Lepisosteus oculatus: one gene and its partner. The protein of the gene in region 2 interacts with the protein of the main gene of each other region in a pairwise test. Links are inferred from orthologs where the notes say so. Each region holds a gene or a part of one and is shown on either strand. Other genes may lie near its edges. The genes, in order: tbc1d25 and rab2a.

What was found.
Region 1: the proteins of rab2a (region 2) and tbc1d25 interact in binary tests that used the Homo sapiens proteins (3 or more experiments, as listed by UniProt). The link is inferred for Lepisosteus oculatus from reciprocal best matches to the Homo sapiens genes RAB2A and TBC1D25.

The regions. Positions count from the first base shown.
Region 1 is NC_090697.1:77,793,315-77,800,867, reverse strand, and holds the start of tbc1d25 (TBC1 domain family member 25), read right to left. Parts: upstream 3,086-7,553; 5' UTR 2,894-3,085; coding exon 2,849-2,893; intron 2,580-2,848; exon of another isoform or gene 2,386-2,579; intron 1,459-2,385; coding exon 1,349-1,458; intron 421-1,348; coding exon 266-420; intron 1-265. Other genes in the region: fkbpl (FK506-binding protein-like), read right to left, coding at 4,812-5,522, 6,341-6,697. UniProt on the Homo sapiens protein: Acts as a GTPase-activating protein specific for RAB33B. Involved in the regulation of autophagosome maturation, the process in which autophagosomes fuse with endosomes and lysosomes.
Region 2 is NC_090701.1:50,091,959-50,100,056, reverse strand, and holds the start of rab2a (ras-related protein Rab-2A), read right to left. Parts: upstream 3,190-8,098; 5' UTR 3,032-3,189; coding exon 2,986-3,031; intron 1-2,985.

The DNA of each region.
Region 1 (7,553 bases), on a different chromosome or scaffold from region 2:
TTTCAACAATTCACACTGGGTATTAACGTCTCAAAGAGACAAAGGATTATATTGTGCTTATTACATGCTCAAATCTCAGGATTTTCTAAAACCGTTCTCGTAAATTAACTGAAAAAAATCAATAAAGGTCTAAGAAGATCAACGTGCTGGTTGCGGGAGACTGGATCACAAATACAAAGAAATGACGCTTTTCTATGGAGGTTTTTTTTTAACAAAATCAAAGGCAGAAAGTGCCAAGCGAACACAAGCAGAAGACGCCTCTCACTGTCTTCGGAGGGCTTGATCTCGATTTTGAGCTGCAGGTAGGGCTTGGCAGCGCTGACGAAGGCCGCGTCCAGGTCCCAGTCCGACATGAGCGACAGGTACGCCTCCACCCCCTGCTTGTCCCGCGACAGATAGCTGATCCCAAAATTCCGTTTCCTGAACGATCGTAATGGAGAGAGCGAGCTTCAGTCACGCTGCAGGGCACTGCACACCCCAGAACAATTCAATCTGAACATGCCATAGAGACCTCAGCCCTGAAGCACAGCAACAATTTCAGCCCAATACCCAACTTAAGGCGTTTAACTCTGACTCACGTTAACGTGTTTCCTGTAAGAGAGAGTAACACCAGTGCAATAGACACTGGTGATAACGGTTTCTCTTTGCACAGTAGTTAACTGTAAAAAGATCTACTCTGTCATATGCAACAGAGTACAAGAAAGTACAGTTTTGAAGAGATTAGCTTTAGTTTCTACCAATACTTAATTAACCAACATTTAACATTTATAAACATATCTATAATGATTAATTATTTAACTACCAAAAATGTATTAACTTAAAAAATCTGACACAATCGGTGTCCCTGGAGCTCACTGTTCCAGAGTGGGTTTCAGCTCCGGGTGTTGTGCTGTGCGGGACAGGGCAGGCGGAGCTGTCCGCACTGCTGGAGCAGCCTCATTTCCATCTGGGAGCTTGTTCTCCCAGACGGGCTGGAATCTCCGGGACCTACAGCTCACTGAAGACGGAGCTCACTAGGGAGCGCAGGCAAACTCTGCTCTTCTGCACGTCACTGCCAGCCCAGTGACTCAATCAGAACCAGCACTGAACCAGGGGACGCAAGTACATTCGCATCCGAGAATACTCCACACAAAGGGATGTGAGGAGCAGGAAAAACGATAATTATTTCTTCCGAGATACGCCCGGATCAGGTCATATTTAAACTTCCAAAAAACAGACGGGGCAGAGGAGCCAAATGCCTTCCTCTTATCTGCAAACTGTCTTTTGTTCTGAGATCCGCTGGGTTCCCCAACACCTCATACACACAGACCCTCTCCCTGCCCCCTCGCCCCGAGCGCCCCCTGCTGACCCGTTGAGCTCAAAGGCCCGGATGAGGATGTGCTGCAGCACTTCCAGGGAGGTGATCTGGGGGTCCACAGCGAAGGAGCGGTACTCCGCAGGCAGGACACCCTCACACTTCTGCCAGGGAGAGAGAGACACAGTCAGGGGGGCTCCGGCCGAGTGAGAGAGCGAAACAAGCACAGTTCACGTGCGCCGTCTTGCAAGAGAGGTACTCGGTCAAAACGGTCTGCAATGTAGAAATGGTGTTACTCAACCCAGCTAAGTATACCCATTTAGGAAAGCATGAAACATGCAAATACATTTTCATACCACTGAACAGCTGCACAATGGAACAGTGGTGAGCACTGCTGCCTCACAGCGCTGAGGCCCGGAGCCAATTTCAGATCTGGGGTACAACCTGTGTGGAGTTAGTATGTTCTCCTCAAGTTTGTGTGGGTTGTTTCCCCACAGTCCAAAGACATGCAAGTGGTAAATTGGCTTCTGAGAACACCAGTCCTGGTGCGAGTGTGTGTGTCTCTGTGCGTCAGCGCTGTGACGGACTGGTGTCCTGACTTGCGCCCATTTGCCAGGATACACTCCTGCCCCCCCCCACGCCCCTGAATTGGATACAGAGGTTAGAAAATGTCTGGATAAACAGCTGTAAGGAGAGACAAGAGGACATAGAGGGAGAGAAGGCAGCGCAGCTCAGACAAGCCAGAGCCAGCAAGGTCTGCTCTAGCCCTACACGACTGGCCTTTGGCAAAGAGACAAACCTGCAGGCGAACTCCTGTCAGGATGTCCTGGGTTTGTCTCCCTGCGGGTCACCGCTGATTAAAACCACAACTCAAAGCACAGCTGACTCTCATTTAGCACCGTATATTCTCTTCTGCCAAGGCAACACCTGTCCTAGGATGTACCACGTGCAGCGACACAAAGACAAGGGGGCCCTGTTGACACCTGACCCCGGTCCGGCTCCCCGCTGCGCCGGGTCAGGTCCAGTCTCCCGGACACAAGAGCAGCTCTGCTCGTCTGCACGGCCGCAGAAGGAAAGCGTTGAGCTCTTACTTCCAGGGGCAGTTTGCTCAGGAGTACCCGGGGCCGAATTCAACCGCACAGCTGCCCGTTCGTCCAGACCCGCGGAGGGCCAGCCGGGCAGCTGGCGACCCCCACCGCCGCGCACAGCCCAGGACTGCGGGCTGCGTCGTCTTTCGCCCTCCGTGTCCAGGACAAGCGCGCCCTGCCTCGTTTTTATGTGGCCGCTGGTACAAAACGACAAAATGGCAGCTTATTCACTTAAAACGGTCCTCTTTTTTTCCCCCTGACTTGCCTTACCTGACGCTCACTCCAGACATAACCGTATAACCGGCTGACCGGAGACCGCGGCTGTCGCCTCTGTCAAATGGGGTCACAACAACAGCCCAGAGCCAACACGCCACAGCCGGCCGGGCTGGACAGCAGCAGCTCTCGGGGTGCTGCGGGGGGCGCCTGCCCCGGGCTCACTGCGAGTTATTGTCGGGGCGACTCTCACCTTTACCCGGACTCGCACGACCCCCCTCTCCTCCTCGCCCGCCATGGCGCCCAGCGGCCGCGCTCACCGCCGCGACGATGCTGATCTCGATTCGCTCTTTAACCTGCCGGCTCCTTAATTCCGTGGGTTTTTTTTTTCTCCTTCTTTTGAAAACAGAAACCTCACTGTGTCATGTTGGCCCACAGCTGTTTGCGTCGGGCCGCCTCCTCCTCGCTCTCCAGGATGTGACGTCACTGGCATTACATCATTCAGGAACCGCGGCGCGCGCGCGGGCCGAGGGTTTAAAGGGACGGAGCTCCCGACGCAAACACGTGGACTGAGACTCCAGTCCTTGTCAGCCCGCATGACAGCCCTGTAGTCACACACCTGAACCAGCTGCCCCTGAGTCTACAGAATTGCTGTTACCTCTATACTACACCTGTCTCAGAACTGACTTTCTAAAAGAATCACAGTCATTACCATACCGACACTTTCAATCACAGAAATACTGACCGGGACCTTTGGAAGTTTAAGCAAAGCTTAAAGCTGTCTTTAGAGTAGAAAGGATCGATGTTTATTTTTCTGACAAGAATATGCAGAAGCAGAGACAGGGGAAATGAGACTCAGACTCTGTCCGGGACAGGAGCGGCTCCCAGTGGTCTTCTGGGAAAGACCCAGAAACACGGACACCTGGACATCAGCTCAGAGGAGCTCCTGCAGTTTCTCCTTCAGATTGCTCTGGTGTGCAGTTAGAAACAGAAAGACTGAACACTGCTTTATTGTTGAAATAACTGATCCGATATCGAAGGGTATATTTTATCAATTGTAAATATGAAACATTGCATCGAAACCGGCATCAGAAGCCAATTTGCTGGCATGTTGGGCTGCGGGGGAGATCTGGTTCACCGATGGCGCAGAACGCGCGTTGATCTTTCCGAAGGGCTCTGTGCGCGTTTGTGTACAGACTGCCGCTGCTGTGACTGTCCGGCGGGTTCGGGTGGTCGGGTCCCGGGGCTTCCTGCACTCGTCCAGCAGCCCCGCCATGACGAGCACAAACACAGCTTCCTGTCCCAGTCCCAGTCCCAGTGCCTCATCACGCCAGCCTCACGCCCAGCAGCTGGTTCAGGAAGATCCCCACCAGCCTGTGACCCCAAGCCCAACCTCACTGCAGCAGGGCACAGCGCTGCAGCACCTGAACACGTTAACACAAACTGCACACTTACAAACTCTCCATGAACGCGTCCTTCCGTGACTCTAATTCAACCCACTTATAATAAAGAAAATTACTCAAGTCTTAGCTCCAATCGATATCTTTATTACACACAAGGTTAACTGCACTACCACAGTTATAAAAGTATACCAGTAATGGCACCTTATACAGGACTGTATCTCTGGGTGTTTGTAATGCTCCATGCAGAAAGACAGACACTTTCTAATTACTTTCAACGTCTTTGTAAGCAGTGTGGCATATTTCAGTGTTGGACTGGATCAGAAGAGTCTCTCCGTCAGCAGTGCCCAGCAGTGGGGGCTCAGCAGGATGCAGTCCTGTCCCACACTTCTCTAGAGCCACTCACTGGAGCACACAGGACTGTTTAACACCTCCACTGTAAGCGGCCTTGTAGACTGAGAGACTCATTACATATGACACAAACAATGCAAACAGCGCTGCTCGTGCTAAACAGGACACATTAATGCAGTACTCGCTGAAGTAGCTCAAGCAGGGATATGCGTCAGCATGCATAGTCTGCAAAGGAACAAGTAAACACTTATTCCATGGAGGTGTGTGCGACACCTGAAGAAGGCTCCACAGCTGAAACGTTGCGTTTCTTTTCTTCTCTTTTCAACATGGAAAAACCCTTTACTTGTTCTTTTGTGGTATTTGCGGTTTGCAGTCTGTGTGATCTGTACAGGAGCTCAACGCTAAGCCAATGGCGATGCTCCAGCGTCTGTGTGACGGGCTGCCGCCTGCCTGCACCCGTCTCCTCTAGGTGAACATCTTGCTGAGCGCGCGGCCCAGCTGGCAGCTGATCGCCTTCTCTCTGGCCTCGATGTCTCTCAGAGCCCTCAGGGCCGACGCCGAGCCGGGCTGCAGCTCTAGAACCCTTGTGAGTCCGGTCCTGGCCGCATCCAGCTCCCCCAGCTCGGAGCAAGCCAGCCCCAGGCGGAACCAGGCCTTGGTGCTGGCCGGATCCAGCTCCGTGGCCTGAGCAGCGCTGACCCTGGCCTTGTGAGGCTGGCCGAGCTTGAGTTGGCACAGGGACATGTTGGCGTGAAGCTCGGACCTGACCCTCCGGTACTCCCCCTCCGAGACGATCTGGCCCTCGGTGGCTTTGTCCTCGTCCCCCTGATCGTCCGGGCTCGAGCCCAGCGCACCGCTGGCTCCCGCCCCCCCCCTGCTCAGGGTGGCCAGCAGCCGCAGCGCCCTGCCGTAGCAGTCGGCGGCCCCCCACACGTCCCCCGCCCGGAACCTCTCGCCGCCCCTCTGCTTGTGAGCCCTGATCCAGGCCCACTTCTCCGGCAGGCTCATCTCCCAGGACTCCCGGCCGGGGCTGAAGGACTGCAGCTCCACTCGGAGGCGCTGGCAGGGGGGAGGAGGCGCCCCGTCCCGCCACCCAGGCTGCGCCCCCTGACCTCCGCCCCGCTGCGCCACTCGCCCCTCGGGTCCCGTGTTGCTGTCCAGGGCTGTCACCAGCAGCTGTGGTTTCAGAGGAAGAGTGTGGACACAAGGTTAACAACGATCGGCTGCGCTGTGAAGAATTAGAGTTTGATTATTTACCGTTTGAAAGCAGGTAAATCAAAAGCTAATTGTGACTCTGACTAGTCAGCATTCTGTCTAAAGGAATGAAAGAAGCTGATCCACTCAGAACAGGACACAGATCCCCGAGTTTTCTTAGTCCCAGTCAAACACACAAGTGCTTCCGTTTGAAAGAGGAATCCCAGTGCACAGCACGACCGGAACAGCCTACAACTACAGTAGAAAGCAGGAATACCAGTGAACAGACTGCCCTCCTCTTTAACACCCAGATAATCTGTCTGTGCACCTTTTAACACATTCATCCTCAATGTCAGACATTATTCTAAATATCAGAGGTCCGGTTATCACTGTGCACTCGTGTGTTACCATGACTTACAAACACCTCGATCTGTCTTTCCATGACAAATGTTTTTCATATTCAAAGGAGCAAATAATTCCTACCAGGTTAATGTACACTGCTAGAACAAGCACACACCCATGGGGAATGAACTATAAAAACAATGCAATTTAAATACAAATGTTTCCTTATTTCAAATAACAGAGACACACCTGGAAAATACAAACTTGCAATCCTCTCTTTGTCAATAGAAGGACCAGACTGTCTGTGCACATCACACACCCCTCCAGCTAGAGACCCTGCAGTCAGTCCTGCTGGGGACGGACTCCTCCAGCTAGAGACCCTGCAGTCAGTCCTGCTGGGGACGGACTCCTCCAGCTAGAGACCCTGCAGTCAGTCCTGGTGGGGACGGACTCCTCACCTCACACACCCCTCCAGCCCTCATGCTCTCCAGACAGCCCTCGATGACGTCGCACTGTCCCTCTCCCAGCCGCAGCTCGACCCACTCGCTGAGGGGAACCTGCAGGACAGAGGAGGGGCTCCCGTCGAGCCCCGCAGTGTGGGTGTCCTCCTGACGCTGCTGGGCGTCCACACCAGTCGGCCTGTCGGCCTGCGCCCCCGGATCATCCGCTGCCAGGGACTGGACCCTGACTCGGCACACCGAGCCCAGCTTGGGGGTCTCAACGCCCGATCCCCTCTCCAGAGTCCTCCTGCTCACCGCCCTCCACCCGCTGGGGGTGACCGAGACCCACGAACTGGCAGCTCCTCTCCCCTGCATCCTCAGGGCGACCCGCGGCAGCGGCCCGGGAAACAGAGGGATCAAGCGCAGCACACTGAGAGCCTGGCCGGGGTACCCGCACACCGGAGCCGGCCCAGCCCAGACGAGACCTGCACGGCTGCAGTCCACAGGGGTGAATGTGAGGCTGTACGCCTCGTCGCTGGGAGCCCGTTAGTAACTGATCGCTGCTGCTACTAAGCTAAGCGCCAGCTCATTGAGGGCAAGTAATTCAGCAACGGTGTCTTCAGCATTTATCACAAGAAGGGATAGATCGGGAAAAACAACTGACTGCATATACTCTACAGAACACCAATTAGAACTTTTTCTCTGTTTTGTGCTCATCATTTTATCTCTGATACTAAAACTCACTCAAATGTGCACAAGCGGCTAGGAATATAGCCTAATTAAATCCTCCCTTTTTACAATAACCATTCTGCATTTTGAATGAAATGAATTTAACTCCAATCTTCACCTGCCGCCGTCTCCCTGCAGCACCGTGCAATTTCCCTGTCGCCGCACTTCCGGTGACGTCGACACGGACAACAGGAACTCAGCTGTCGTGGCTCCTAGCAACGGCAACCGGCGTCACCGCACTGACATCTAGCGGCCAGACTCGGAAAGACAGAAACACAGGACCGAGCGACCTTGCTGAGCGAGTAATAATAATAATAATAATAATAATTGCTTACACTTATATAGCGCTTTTCTGGACACTCCACTCAAAGCGCTTTACAGGTAATGGGGACTCCCCTCCACCACCACCAATGTGCAGCATCCACCTGGATGATGCGACGGCAGCCATAGTGCGCCAGAACGCTCACCACACATCAGCTATCAGTGGGGAGGAGAGCACAGT
Region 2 (8,098 bases):
CATTTCATGTCGAAGAGGATATTTTACATGGTAGAATTTTGTACAGATCACACCTTCCTTATCATTTATTATTTAAATAAAATTCCAATAAACGCCTGAAAAACTATTTTGTCTGATTTTCAGATGCTAAATAAGACTGTGATAAGGGGCGGTTTTATTATGGAAGTTGTATGGAGGAAGTCTGGAAGCAGCGCGTGATGAAACATGAGCTGAACTTGTGAAAATGTTCGGCCTCTTTTTTTTAAAGTATTCAAGCTCATTTCTTGAAACAGTATTTTAAAGCCTATTGAAAGAGTTTTTTAAAGAAAAGAGAGACTACTGAAACTTTTTCTAATGAATATCGAATTGGCAAAGGGCATGACCTCAGGACTTCAGTCTTAAATCTAGATTTAACTTTTCTAAAACAAATCAAAACTACATTTTCCTTTCTCTGCCTGCGTCCTCATCTTGTCCGATTCTCTGTCGCTCTGCCTCTCATTCCTCCTCCCTCTCCTCCTCTGGATCCAAGACAGTCACCACCGAGCTTCAGTTTCACGGTCGTCTCTTCCTCCTCTAAAATATTACACGCCACATCCTTTAAAACACACGCTGTCCCACAGAGCTTGCACTACTTCTCCCATTACAGCCAAGAAGTAAACGAGACTCACTGCAAAGGCTTGTCTGCCAGTCTGGCAGACACGTTCCAACCCAAGAGAGACTTAAAGTTGGTCATTGCACTGATCAAAGACTACTACTGGCTCCAGAATTCTACCAGGATCATTTGCCTTTAAATACAGATGCACAGCAGCATGCGTTACCAGCCCTTTCTTCAGCACACCGCCCTCGTTAAGGGCATGGAATGCCCTGCAGGGAAACCTGGAGGACATGCGCTAAGTCAAATCCTTTCTGCCGGTTACTATGGAAGACACTGAGCAACAGGAGCGCACCAGCTCTCCACACCCTTGCTGGAGTGCAGTCCCAGATGGATATTCCACATTGCATGAGCTTTGAACTGCAGTACACAGTACACCCACCACATTTCTACCCTCTGTGCAATATCACATGCAACATCTGAACCATTGCATTATAAAATAAGTATTAGGGAGCTGTACCAATTCAGCCTTGCTGACACAGGCCTTGTGTCAATGTCTGCAGTTACCATTTTGAGGTTAGGCCATTTAAATGACTCAATAACATTTAACTGTGAGGCACAACTTTGGTACTTCTCAGCAAACACAGAAAAATAAGACTAGGAAAGAGGGTGCTATGACAGGCAATAACATTTCGTTGAAGACCTGGGTTTAGCCATGTGTGAAAAATAAGTGGCGTTGTTGGATTGAGCAGGGGACACTTGTATGTGAGTTTACTTCATAAACCAAAGTTTGAGACCACAGCAGCTAATTACTTCACATGTACATCTTGTGAGAAACACAATCCGATAACTTCTCAGGACTCTGGGAAAAATAATTTTAAAATCTACAGCAAAATTAAAGACAACATTTATATTGGTAATGTATGAAACCTGCATTTATATTGTTGTGCAAAGGGTAGCAGTTAAATCAAAATTCTGCAAATACTGACCTGGACATTACTATTTTGACTGGTATGATAAAGAGTTTATAACCGATTAATAAACCAACATCATAACCACACGTACTGCCACCAGGAATGCAGCTCACTGATGTATAAAGTAAATGATTAAATAATTAAATATAATACTATTCTAAGTCACTTAAAACTTATTCTACCAAGTGGCAAAATTAGTACTGAATTAATTCATTTAGGACATGGTGAGGATAACAGGCTGTGCGCAAGTTTTACTTCAATCTTCCTATGTGCCAGTCTATAAAATAAATACATTCTTAAAAAACGTTCTTTCCTTATTTCCAGATAATAACGTCCATGTCTATAAAGAATAGTTTTGTATCTATATTTTAAGCAAATTCGCAAAACGTTGATTTGCAGGGGATGACATATGCGAAGATTATTTTTGAAGCGGATCTGTAGGTTTAAATTAGTCGGATGCCATCTAGGAAAGTATGTTATAACCTGTGATGCTGAGATGGTAAGTGCGTTAAGAGAGGGTTTCACAACGAACAAGAGAGCAAACTAACACGGGCTTTCCTCCCCGTTTCAGCTAACAGAAATATAGCTGAAGAAGGCTGAAACCCGGTCAAGGTGTCGCACACCGCCTAAGCAACCCAAAAGATGAAAGGGCATCTTTATCACGAAATGACCAGGGTCTAGCGAAGGCCCGGACTTTTGTCAAGCCAGCATATGCGAAACAACCCACGGAGCTCCCCTGACAGCTAGGAGAACTGCAAGGCCAGTTTTTTTATTATTTTCCTCCAACCTCCGATTATACTATTTATTCCCCGCAGGTGGAACAGTGTGTTGCAGGTGAGCTGGCATGCACAAATATAACCCCCCCATCACCACCTAGGCCTACAAAAAAAACCTGTCGCCGATGATTTACATAACCGAAAAGCAGAGTCAACCCGAAGGCTGACAGTCTGCAAAACCGCTGAAAACGCCATTTTCCCCCCCAAAGCGAAAACATTTCCTTCCCCTGCAGACGTTAACACGACGACGGGCAGCCGGCGATCTGCGGGCGGACTCGTCCAACAGTTGCCCGTCTAGCCCCCCAGAGAGGGCCGGCGCATCTTGCTACACGGGTCCGTCTTCGCCGGAGCCATTTTCGGGGAAAGGGTTATTTGGTGTTTGCAATGCAATTAGCCCCCACCTCCCCTCCACCCTCGCCGCAATCGCAATGGAAAGACACAAGCAGGCCGGTGCCGAGGCGGCTGCTGTCAATTCACCTGCCAAATGGCAATTATGTCACCTTAGATCAGTTATTTTAACGGGGGGGGAAGAAACTAAGCAGCCCTCCCACCCTAGCGTTCCTGTGCTTTTACCACGTCATTGACTCCAACACTGCGGAAATAAGAGAGAGACGTAAATGTCTCTCTCTCTCTTTTCCTACGCCGTCACACAGCGGCTGCTCACCCGTGTCTCCGATAATGATGTATTTGAAGAGATACGCGTATGCCATGGCCGCTGGGATGCTGTTTCTGCCCGGGTCTTGTGCTTTGCTCCCTCGCTGTGTTACTCGTTCAAGCTGTGGAGAGAGGAAGTGGCGGGGAAAAAGCCTGTGCTTTCTCTCAGTCTCACTCCGCTTCACCAGCCTCTTTCTCTTCGGCGACCAGAAGGAACAATAAACACCTCCGAGCTCCGGGCTGCCCACGTCACACGTTCCGCCTTCGCCACGCACGCAGAACACGCTCACATTGCTGCGCCCGGAAGTGCTGACATTGCTGCGCCCGAACCCGTATGTTAAGACGAGCGCCGACTGTCTGCTGTCTCTGTAGCCGTGCCGGCGCTAGTGCGCTGAGAATCTGTTTCACTGCTTTTTTGTTTAATTCTACATACTTACCCGCTTTGTTACTGACATCGCGTATGCCAAAGGTACAACACACAAAAATCCTATTCGAAATACAAGATGTATTTATCATGTGCCTTGTTGTTGAAATTAATTTGGCAATGCTTGAGTATTGGAATAATTCACCTATTACAGAGAGTTTAGACATACCAAAAAAGGCACGCAGGTTTTAAAACTTTACTTTTTGCCCTGTTCAAGGTTGGAAAGGTGTTCAGCAAAAAATGCTGAAATGTGTAAGAAAAGAATTCGTGATGTTAGGGATGAAGTCTGCATGTACTTCACAAACAAGACGTTTTAAAGTTTGTAGTCTCTGCAAACTTCCAAAAGTTCATTTGGAAGTGCCCAATGGAAAAAAAAACTGCCTGCTTCCACAAAAACTTAAAATAAAGTATGATATTAGAAACTATACTGGTAACATTAATGATTGCACAGCTTTGACAGTATTAGTGAATTAAAGAAGTCACAGGATTTTGTCATGCTGTCATGATAATATACATTTACTGTTGTGCTATAAGTTCTATAAAATTCTTCATTTCTACTGAGTAAAAATAATTCTGTGATATTTGATCAAATGCTTCTAACTTTTAAAGAATTTTCACAGGCTGACTCCTTAAGGGTGAGATTTACAGCTCCACAGTGTGAGATTCTGTAGAAAAAGCTAGTGCTGAAACCTATTCAGCTTCTGGGGTGAAACGATTACCTGTTCCAGTGCCCTGAATATTAATTATTTTTTTAATATTCACTTTAATTTCACTTTACTTGCAGGGAAGGTGTATATGAGTGCAATTTATGAAATTTAAGGACCTATGCCTGTGATTGTGAGATGACTTCAGAATGTGTGTTTCATTCTGGATATATGAGAAATCAGAGTCCTGGCACTTTGAGCTGTGCTTCTAGAAAAAATGGTAAACACATCCAGAACATGTATCTTATCTTATCTAAAGATGTAAGTTAGGATTTATTTGGGTTTTGAACCAGACACAAAGCGTTTGAGCAGGAGATAAATGGTTTCACACATAAATGTAACTAAATAATCTAAACAAAATTTAATAGAAGTAATAAACAACAGTGGTCAGATTTGGTATTCAAATGTTCAAACCGGGGAGAAACTTTGTTAAGCAGTTTACCCAACTGCATTGCTGAAAAGCCTTTTATCACCCCAAATTCAGACACAATTTGACTATGCCTCTGATTCTCCACTAGTTCTCAGACTATACTAGCTTATCCTGTCCTGCCATGTTCTCGGGAACTTAGCACAAACTGATCAAGTGCCTCACATTTGTTTATCTCAGTTCAAAAATACTGAGAGCATGGCACACACGGATGTAAAACCTCTAATCAAGCTTGCCAGGCACAATATCATGTCATGGCACACATTATTCCCTAAGCCTGTCTCACTATAAAAGGAGCAGTGGGTAGTTCTTGTTTTCAACCTGATTTTAGATGAAATAATACACCACATCAGGTTGCAAAATCTGGGCTTAGCCTTTTATGGTGTAGGAGATAATCCATGCCAATCATTTCTCCCTAAAAATAAGTTTCCTCGGACCTCCATCCCCATACAGCATTTTTCTGGGTGCTGCAACTTCCCAGACACCCTCAATAGCTGATTATCCCATTTTGGCCGCAACCTAAAACCGCCACTACTTGGGATCTTTGGAGTCTTCAATTAAGGCAACTGGAGTGTGATCCCGACTTGGGCACCACTCATTGATTGTGGCTGGGGACCATGTCTATCCGAAAAAGCATCCCAGCACGCTCTTTTTCCCACCCTCTTGCCCAATGCAGCCCATGTCCTGCCTGCCAGGGCTGTAGCTAATCCCTGTCATTGTAGTTCTGGCTGTTGGAGTTTGCACTGAGTCTCTGCACAACTCGCCTATCATGCGGGCTGCTTTTTTTATATTGCATGCCATTGCGATCAGTGTAGCACCAGCTGTTTCGCCATGACTTCTCCTCACCCGTGGGCTACCTTGGTGTTCTCACAGGATACACCTTTAGCTGTATCCTTCTGTGGTGTTGATCATGGCTGTCTGTACTATTCCTCTTTCCCTGAATCTCAGTTCTCTTTCATGAGGATCTCTACTAGACTTTCTAATTTGTCTGTTTTTTTTTCATTTTTCTCGTCTTGGCTTGAAGCTCTTAACCCTGCCATTGGTCACCAGAGAGACCTGGATTTCCCGGATTGTGTCGTCTGCATAGGGTCCTGGAAGAATGCTTTCGTTACAGTTCCATTCCTCATCAACAGTAGAAAGCCGAAAAAGTCCTGGCCAGCTAATCTCACCCTACTGTCATGGTCACACAGCTCCTTGTGCATCTTGCATTGCAGAATCCCAGTTACAGCAAGAGACAGAGTGACAGCCAATAAGGTCAACCAGAAGCGTAAGCCTAATGTGATGGAGTCAGCAAACACAGTCTGGGCTGGGGCAGTCATGAGGAGTGAAGGGGACGGAAAGGGGATTGGCTTGGCACCTGTCCCAGCAGCGCTTAAAGTAGTGGGAAAGGCCATTGACGCCACAACCTTTCTCTTCACAAACCCAGAGGAGGAAGCCATTGCCCTGTCATTGATGACACCTGTCCCTGAGACTCCATCAGGTAATGAAGTAAGTCACCTGCACAACGACACTGAATTCCCCGTATTCTCTGTATCACTGTGTATTACTCTATTTACTGTATTGCTCTGTATTACTCTGTATATGCCAGCAGCCATATCACCCTGCAACTCACATCTGGCAGCCCACTGAAGCTCAGCAGGTGTGAGCCTGGTCAGTACCTGCCAGCCAGGCGGAGTGCTGGCACTGTGGCTAAGGATCTGCACCTGTGGCTGGAAGGTTGCCGGTTCAAATCCTGCAACCGGCAGAGGAATCTAACTCCATTGGGCCCCTGAACAAGGCCCTTAACCCCAGGTGCTATAGGGGTGCTATACAATCTGACCCCAAGCTTCTCTCTCCCTGTCTGTATCTTATGGAGAGCAAGCTGGGGTATGTGAAAAGACAAATTCCTAACGCAGGAAATTGTATATGGCTAATAAAGTGATCTTATCTTATCTTACCTGGATGAGAGACCTCCTGGGAAAACCTAAGGTTGCTTCTGGAAGAGGTGTTAGTGGGGCCAGCAGGGGGCGCTTACTCTGTGGTCTACGTGGGTCTTAATGCCCCAGTATAGTGACGGGGAAACTATACTGTAAAAAGGCGCTGTCCTTCGGATGAGACTTAAAACTGAGGTCCTGACTCTCTGTGGTCATTAAAAATCCCAGGGCGTTTCTTGAAAAGAGTAGGGGTATAACCAAAATCCCCATCTATGAACTGGCTTCATCACTCTGTTCTCCTCAGTGTGTGGTGAGTGTTCTGGCGCACTATGGCTGCCGTTGCATCATCCAGGCGGGACTGGACATAGGTGGTGGTGGAGGAGAGTACCCATTATCCGTAAAGTGCTTTGAGTTATGTATCAAGAAAAGCGCTATATAAGTGTAAGCAATTATTATTATTATAGTTGGCTAGTGACACGACCCGGAACTGAATCCATGATCACAGAGTTCAGCTGTATTAAAAATAATGGAATTTCTTAGTGCCTTAAAAAGATTGTGTTGATTGGGAATGTACATGTATATTTGTATGTATTTCTGTTTCTATAGTATATTTTGTAATGTCTGTAATCACAGATAATCAGAGACCAAAAATAGAATTCTGGGTCACATTTTGCAGGGACCAAAATAGCAGGAAATACAGAACCAGTCTGCATGTGTGAGAAAAAAACACAAATGTATTCCACGTTCCAGGACTAAGAGAAAATTCCAAAGCTATAAAATGCAAATGGTATCAGAGAAAGCCTTCAGAGGACTTCCTCTCTTAACCTTAAGCTGTGGGTTAGTAGAGGAATGAGAAAATACAGGAAGGTAAGCGAAACATAAAAGGAAGATTTGTAAGATGAAAGGACTTGTAAAGTTAAAAGGAAAGTAAAGAAGTAGGTATAAGAGGAAACAGAAAAGGAAAAGAAGAGGTATGATAACCAAACCATATAACAGTTATCTATTTCTCATATTTTGGATACTGTATATTCAGAAGAAGAGACTTTTGATGTGTTAAAATCATTTAAGTCGTTAAATATGGACGTAAATGTAACTCAAATGTGTTGTTCCATGTTGGGTTGAACTAAGAGATAAAGAATGTTTTGTGTTAATTGAGATGAAAGTGTTGGGGCAGTTTTCAAAATGTCTGCCACTGGCTGTTAACAGAAGAAGGACACTAATCTTCAACTAACACATCCAGAAATAGAAATTGGGGAATTTTCAGAATGAAGTAGACTATGTATACAACATACACAGTAATGCTGGATTTGTGTTATGTTTTTTGGGCTGAAACCCAGGTCTTAACAAACTTCGATGCATCTATCAATCAGGAAATATAGATTACAACTGAAAAATCCAGTGCTTCCGTTCCAAGGAAGACACCTCTAGCAAACTAACAGCTGTCATGAAAACTGGGATTTGTAATTTGAGATTGTTGACTGGGCAGACATTTTGAAGTGAATGCAGGGATAATAGTTTTTTTTTCTACTTTGCAATCAAATACAATTTCAGTTTAAGGTGGTGGTGCTTCTTTCTCCCTAAAGGATTTTGCGAGTATTGTAGCCTTTTTTATTGTATAGATTGTGTTATTTAAGGGGCTTACACGGATAACATTG